2 linked regions of the Ovis aries genome follow. The protein of the gene in region 1 purifies or fractionates together with the protein of each later gene. This does not show direct contact. Links are inferred from orthologs where the notes say so. Each region holds a gene or a part of one and is shown in the gene's direction. Other genes may lie near its edges.

The links. The genes of interacting proteins can lie anywhere in the genome.
Region 2: the proteins of NCBP3 (region 1) and THOC1 purify together in Homo sapiens (co-immunoprecipitation; 4 studies listed by BioGRID and IntAct, with this or other methods). This does not show direct contact. The link is inferred for Ovis aries from reciprocal best matches to the Homo sapiens genes NCBP3 and THOC1.

The regions. Positions count from the first base shown.
Region 1 is NC_056064.1:24,361,254-24,364,753, reverse strand, and holds part of NCBP3 (nuclear cap-binding protein subunit 3), read left to right. Parts: intron 1-1,089; coding exon 1,090-1,195; intron 1,196-3,500. UniProt on the Homo sapiens protein: Associates with NCBP1/CBP80 to form an alternative cap-binding complex (CBC) which plays a key role in mRNA export. NCBP3 serves as adapter protein linking the capped RNAs (m7GpppG-capped RNA) to NCBP1/CBP80.
Region 2 is NC_056076.1:35,661,604-35,665,768, reverse strand, and holds the start of THOC1 (THO complex subunit 1), read left to right. Parts: upstream 1-1,365; 5' UTR 1,366-1,393; coding exon 1,394-1,447; intron 1,448-1,616; exon of another isoform or gene 1,617-1,812; intron 1,813-2,821; exon of another isoform or gene 2,822-2,885; coding exon of another isoform or gene 2,886-2,915; intron 2,916-3,866; coding exon 3,867-3,940; intron 3,941-4,033; coding exon 4,034-4,094; intron 4,095-4,165. UniProt on the Homo sapiens protein: Component of the THO subcomplex of the TREX complex which is thought to couple mRNA transcription, processing and nuclear export, and which specifically associates with spliced mRNA and not with unspliced pre-mRNA.

The DNA.
Region 1 (3,500 bases):
TAAAACTCTGAATAAATAAAACGGTGTTACTATATTGGATGTATGAAAGCAAAAATAAAAATAAGTATGTCATGCTTATTTTTTTGTGTTTTATCTGGGTCTCAATCTGTCTCAGATTGCTTAAAGGCAAAAAGAAAGAACTGATCATCTTTTTTGACAGGAAAATAGAATGAAGTGAAGGTGTTTTCTTACTGAAACTGAAAAAGCAGTATGCAGTCCTGTTCTTAAGCCTACACAATTTACCATTATTTGAAACAAATATATAGTGGAAAGGGTGGTAGCCAAGAATTGGTACTTTGGTTCTTACCAAAGGAAGGTAAACTAGTTGTTTCCAGTGGGAAGACTTCAGTGGAGAAAATTAACATAACTATTGGGAAATAACAGAAGTGTTGCTGCCTTACCAATCCCCAGAAGCTTTCTATAGTCAGACCTTCAATTAGTGTGGCAAAGTCAATATACAATTAGTGAAGGTTCCAAAGAGCTATCAGAAACCCACAGTTGGACCTGGGTATATTTTAGCTCTTGGGGAAAAAAAAAATTAGGAAGCTGATTATTTGGTTTTTCAGAAAGCATCAGTGCTTCTTTTCACTTCAAGATGAAAACTGGCAATTCTGTGGACACAAGTTTAGAATAGAGGAGAGAGTTTCTTGGCTTCAGTGTTATTTTTAAACACAAAAAAAGCTTTAGGGAGTGGACTGCTCAGGCAGACATAACGTGATAGGTGTGATTACCATGCACACAGACGATGTGAAATGGGGGCGGTGGTGGGGCTTCTAGAAATAGCGCTGAGAAGATCTGCCCCTTACCAGCTGAAGTGCCCCTGGCAAACATTTTAGCTTTTTTGTGCCCCGGTTTCTGCACAGATACATTGATAGGCACTGAGTCGTCCTCGAGATGATGACAGATTGCAGCACTGCTAGCGCCCACTCTGCCAGCCATTGCCAATACCCTGTTCATTGCAACAATGAGGCAAGGCACAGTGTTGTTCATACCTTCTGAGTTGCTTGTCAAGCCAGTGTATCACGTGATGTTTGTGATTTAACTCTCCTCCACATTTCACTTCTTTGGCTTTTTTTCTGCACCTTCTAGGAAGCGATTGAAAAGAAGGAGCAGCGAGCCAAGCGCTTCCATTTTCGATCAGAAGTAAATCTTGCCCAAAGAAATGTAGCCTTGGACCGAGACATGATGAAGAAAGGTACAGGGTGTTTGGGGGGAGTTTTCCGCAGTTTCCTTGCCACGGCCTTGTGCTTCTGGCCTCACCTCACGTGGAACTTGTGAATTCGCCGCTTCTGAGGTGGCCTGTTAGCGATGAGCTGCGTTAGCTGTGTCTCAGTGTTTTGTGTATGTGTGTGTGTGTGTGTATTCATTTGGCTGTGTCAGAACTTCAGGATACTGTCTAAGGAGCCCCAGAGAACCTCATGGAGTTGGTGGCAGATCGGCGATTAGAACTGTGGCTCTGTGGGACTCTTACTCATTTTCTGCTTTATTGTAGAAGTGTTCACTTTTCTTTGCCTTTAAATGTAGCAGGAGTGTATCGCAGTGAGACTCTTTTAGAGGAGTCAGATTGGTGAGGGATACCGTTAATACTTCTGTTGATCCAGGTTTGTGATTTTACTTTATTTTTGTGTTTTATTAAGGTTAAGTATTTTGCTTCCTGAAACTCACCCTGAATTCTTAAATATGATAACCTACCCCAGATTTTGAAGACAGTTTATAAATAGAAGGGAAAATTATTGCTTCCCTTTTCGTGAGTTCACAGCCATGTTTATTATCCCGTAAATGCAAATGATCTGCCTTTGTTGTATTTGCAAATTGGAGACTTGGCGAAGGGCTTTAATAGGCAGCCATCTGAAGGCACGTTAAAGGTCTGTGCTCTGCTGTATGAGTTTCTCTAGGTTTGCCTATTTGATAAAAACATGTTGAATGAATGGAAGAGTAGCTACTATTTGTCGGGAACTTGCTCTCTTATGAGGCGCTGTGTTAGCACATTACATATTTGTTTCGTACTCATTTCTCACAACAACCCCACGAGGAATATATTTTTATCCCTAGTTTACAAAGAAGGAAACAGGCTCAAAGAAATTAAATAAATGCGCAGGTTTACACAACTAGTAAAAGTGGAGTCAGGATTAGAACTCAGATTTATCTGACCCTAAAGCCTTGCTTTTAACTGTTTGCTCTGTTGCCTTACAATGTATGACATGATAGCAGAGACCCAGGCCGCCTCAGTCCTTCCCAGTGGTCAGAGTAGCTCAACTCTGGATGCTACTTCACTGTTTTTATTCTGCATCGTGTTCAATTTGGAAACATGACCTTGCTTGCCTCGCAGGCTAGGTTTCCAGGCATCTGCTCGAGTGGTTGTCTGTTTCAGGAAAAGTCCTGTGAAGGCCAGGGCCAGCTGTGCAGCTGGTCGTTCGTGTGCCCGCACACTGGACCCACACAGACGTCTGAGGCCTCTCCCACAGCCCCACCTTGGACGCACTGTGGTTTCACACCGCGCCTGTTTACTTCTAGTCCTGGGCGCGTTCCATGTGGCATCTTGCCTCTGATCTCGTTCATGCCTGTCACCCTGCTGATTCGTCTTTCCTTGTCCCACACTTTGTCTGGTTCAGATGTCACGCCCTCTGCAGCATCCCTAATTACCCTCGTCAGTCTCTCTTCCCACCTGTGCTGGGGCTCTTCTGAGCCCGGAGCCCTCCTGGGATCCAGTCTCAGTTCCTTAGTGAATGTGGGGGAGTTAGTGAACCTTTTTAGGTTTCATTTTCTTTGTTCATAAAATGGGAATATGATACCCTCCTGAATAGGACCTCTTCTTTTGGGGTTAAATTTTAATTAAAAAAAAAATGCTTTTTGAAAAACAGTCTTGATCTCATGATTCTGAAGATACTCATAAAAGACCGTAGATCTCCCTAAACTATCAGTGGCTCATTACAACCTGTTTTTGGCCCAGAAGGCAGCATGGCTTCAGACTGTGTTCTTGAACTCCAGATAACCCTGCTGCCTTTCACAGATCGATTTAGAGTAGGGGGTAGGTTTGGATAAATCTCAGAGTTACTATTTTTTCATCTCCCCTGGTAATTCTGTTGTACAGTCGGGGTTAACTGTACCCTAAGAGCGTGGATTCTGAAGCCTGACTGTCTATATTCAAATCTTGACTTGTCACCTTCTAACTGTGATCTTAGGCAAGTTATTTAGCCTCTAAGAACCTCAGTATCTTCATCTGGAAAGTCAGGTTAACTTAGTTCTTACAGGGTTGTTGGGAGGTTCTAACAAAATGTTAGGATTCCTAGAGTGGTGCCTGGCACATAGTAAATGTTAGTTATTATTATTATCTGGCATTCTCCATCTTCCAGACAGCCATTTAAGTGGCCCAGCCTCTTGTGAGAATGGGGACATTGGAATAAACATCTCGATTCCTGCAGCCACAGTAAGGTACCGGGTTATTTCTTCTTATTAACATCAACAGTGATGAAATATACCATTCTATAAGTGCTCCCCAC
Region 2 (4,165 bases), on another chromosome or scaffold:
CTGAAACTCCAATACTTTGGCCACCTCATGCGAAGAGTTGACTCATTGAAAAAGACCCTGATGCTGGGAGGGATTGGAGGCAGGAGGAAAAGGCGACAACAGAGGATGAGATGGCTGGATGGCATCACCAACTCCATGGACATGAGTTTGGGTAAACTCCAGGAGCTGGTGATGGACAGGGAGGCCTGGCTGCTGGGATTCATAGGGTTGCAAAGAGTTGGACACAACTGAGCGAATGAACCGAATTGAACAATCATCCATAATATGATAACAATCCGATTACACCAGCTCTTAAATCAGTTAATACCAGTTGATCTGAGCAATTTGGCAATGTACGTTGTACAATCAAACCTGAACGATTCTATTGATTCTGAAAAAACCTGCAACGCTCCAGGTAGCCATCACTGTTCACAATTCCCACTTAGGGACAAGATTATGCAAAGTTATATTTTTGTTAGCATTCTGTACTCTCGCTGGATATCCACGAAGGGAACCAGGTAAAGCGCGCCAGGCTTTCACTTAGGAACACGTGCAGGTGGGTAAGAGCTGGTAGCAAGTGTTTGGGTCAGTGCTTCTTCCCCCACCGCATAATGCCAACGGAAAGACGACTGCCCCTTGGCTTCTCATTGGCCAAGTGAATGGAGACGAGGGAGGAAACCGGACAAAAGACTAGGTCTTGCAACAGGTGCCTTAACCCTGGGACTTGGCGCCACCGACTATCCAATCAGCGGCGAGTACTGAGTTCCTCCACAATCTTCCTCATTCAGTAGTGCGCTCTATCTGCCAGCAAAATGAACGAATCCCCACACATTACGTTGCTACACAAGCCACGCTTGCTTTCACGACTTCATTTACGCTCCTCAACAGCCCAGGGATACAAGCATTATTTTTATTTCTCAGAAGATGGAACCCCACCTGAGCTACAGGGCCCGCGACCTGCAAGGCAGATGCGCGAACCCGGAGCTGGGACCACTCCTGCGGGAAGAAGGACTTTGATCCGACGGCCACTGCCGTCACCTCCCCAGCCCGGAGCTCCCGGATAAGCTGCCTGACTTGGATTCTCAGACAGCGACTACCTTCCCTTGCGGCCCATCGAGCCGTAACCAGCCGCCATTCACCCGACTTCCCAAACCAGGAAAACCCCCGCGAGGCCGCGAGTCTGCAGTCACCCCACAGGTTGTTACCACGAACGCGGATCGGGCGTTGAGTGGCTAACCCTAGCTTCCAACACCCTCCCGACCTCCGTCACCAGGGAAGCTCCCAAACGCCACCGGACCCGCCCCTGCGCCCACAAGCCGCTCTAGCCGCGCACGGAGCCGGCACTCTCGTTGCTCCCGGCCTGACGTCATCCGCGGGCGCCGCGACGAAGTGGCGGGCACGCGCAGCCAAGAAGATGTCTCCGACGCCGCCGCTCTTCAGTTTGCCCGAAGCGCGGACGCGGTTTACGGTGAGTTGCGGGCTGGTGGGCGCGGCCCCGGACCAACGCTATTTGTTGCTCTCCTCTCCCTGAAATTACTTGAATTTTGCACTGGGGTTAAGCGGGGACAGAGGCGTTGCGCCGCGGCGACGGGTTCCCGGCCCTGTCGTGGGCTGGGGAGGCGGCAAAGGCGCTTTACCTGCCTCTTCCAAGAGTCCTCTGCGGTCCGCCGCCTCCTTTCCGCTGGCGAGTCCCGGAACCCTCCGCCCTCCGTGGAGGGCTCACCCGCAGACTACCTCCTTTTGGTTCCTGCTTCTCTGCGGTGCTCGCTTAGCCAGGCGGGTGTTTCCAGAACTGGCAGGGGGCTTCTCTAGAGGGAAGGCGAGAATGGTTTTAGTCCAGAGAACAGGCTCCCGCCCCGCCTTCTAACTGCCAGGTGGCTCTTCTCGCCGCTCATTCATCACCCTTTAACCCTTTGTATCTCACTCTTAGAGATCGATGAGGACGGTCCTAAGTGGGGCGAGGCAAACTGATCAGCTTGGGAAGGGTTGTCAACTGTCATTTTATTCTTCCGCCTTGGCGAACAGTAATTTAAGCATTTGGGGAAACACTTTACAGAGCGTTTTGATCTTAGCTTATTTAACTCAGAATAGCTCTGTGAAGTAGGGTGTTTAATTATCCACAGTAGATGAGATAGAAACTGAGACAGCCCGCCCCCCAGCCCCCGCTTATGTTGTTGTTCAGTCGCTAAGTCGTGTCCGACCCTTTGCAACCTCATGGACTGCAGCATGCCAGTCTTCCTGTCCTTCACCATGTCCCGGAGATTGCTCAAATTCATGTCCATTGAGTCGGTGATGCCACCCAACCATCTCATCCTCTGTCACCCCCTTCTCTTGCCTTCAGTCTTTCCCAGCATCAGGGTCTTTTCCAGTGAGTTGGCTTTTCGCATCAGGTGGCCAAAGTTTGGAGCTTCAGCATCAGTCCTTTCAAAGAATATTTAGGGTTGATTTCCTTTAGGGTTGACGGCTTTGATCTCCTTGCAGTCCAAGGGGCTCTCAGGAGTCTTCTCCAGCACCATAGTTTGAAAACATAAAAGTTAAATTATTTGCTTCACTGTTTTCTCTGACTTCAGACTCAGTAATCTTTTTATGTTGCCCATCAGCAAATGAAGAACCCTGTTCTAAGTCGTTTGACTGTGTTCATCCCTAGTTTTCTGTAATTCTGTGAGGAGAAACTGTTAGGTGTGTCCAAGGTCATATCAGTCCTGGAAGGGACCATTTGATAGGAGATCATTTAGCCCGGTGCTTCTTAAGATTGAGCATGGGTTGGGATCACCTGGGGATCTTGTTAAATGAGATTCTGGTTCCGTAGGAATGGGGCCTGAGATTCTGCATTTCTAACAAGTTCTCAGGTGATGCCACTGCTGCTGATGGTAATAAGGATCTACAACAACCCAGATATGTAACTGATGAGGAAAATGAAGCACAGAGACAAAGGGGTATGTTCTAGATTACGAACTTCCTAACTGCCAGTGAAGGAGGCAATGGAGATGTGGGTTCATTGCCTGGGTGGGGAAGATCCCCTGGAAAAGGGAATGGCAACCTGCTCCAGTATTCTTGCCAGGAGAATCCCATGGACAGAGGAGCCTGGCGGGGTACAGTCCATGGGGTCACGAAAAGTCGGACACCACTGAGCTTGCATGCACCAAGATTACACAGCCTACTCACAGAGTCAGGAATGGACCGTTTCTAGTATAAATGTAACTTCTGGGAGGTAACAAGAGGATTTTCCAAGTGTATGTGAATTTTCACAGAGTGAATGACTTGGCAGTATTTTTCTTTTTCAGTTACGACTACTTTGTGACAGTCAGCAGGTTTAGTACTTTAAGACATCAGTGTTTACTTGATGTCAGGGACTGTGCCGTGCAAGCTACCTAGAGGAGGTGGGACTTCTGTTGAGTCTTGAAGAATGGATAGGAATTTGCATGAGCGTGTGGGAAGAACAATGTGCATGGATACACTAGAGTGAACTTGATAGAAAATGATGGGAAAAAGGCTACAGCCTAGTGGAGAGTATATGTTTGGGGTTACTGGGAAGTAAGGTTGGATAGATTGAGTGGGATAACATTATTAAGGACCTTTAGAGGAAGCTGTGAAACCAAACCTATAAATAAGGGGCCACTTAAGAGATATTTTTTAAAGCAGAATGAATAGCATATTTAAAGGAAAGGTAGGCGGGAAAACCTGGAATGAGAAAACTGAGCTTGGAAGCTCTCAACAAGCTTCAAGTGATGAGAAAGTAGCATTTGAATGAGAATTACTGCTGAACTGACAGGTAATTTTTCTCAGGTATAAACATTTTTTAGTTAGACATACAAATAATGAGTGGTATGTTTCTCAGTGAACAAAAATTCCTTCAACTTATGTGCTTTTTTTTTTTTTTCTTCTAGAAATCTACGAGAGAGGCCCTGAACAGCAAAAATATCAAGCCCTTGTTGAATACCTTTAGCCAGTTACCTGGAAGGTAAGGTATTAATATCCATGACATGGGCTCATTGAAATCTTTATACTTACCCTGAGCTGTTTTAAAAATGCAGGTGTTTTTTGTTTTTAATAGTGAAAATGAAAAAAAATGTACCCTTGACCAGGCTTTTAGAGGTGTTCTAGAAGAAGAAATTGTAAGTATGTTTTTCCTTTATTTATTGTTAAAATTTTGCTGGCAGATTAGTAAATATTGTTTTTTAATTTG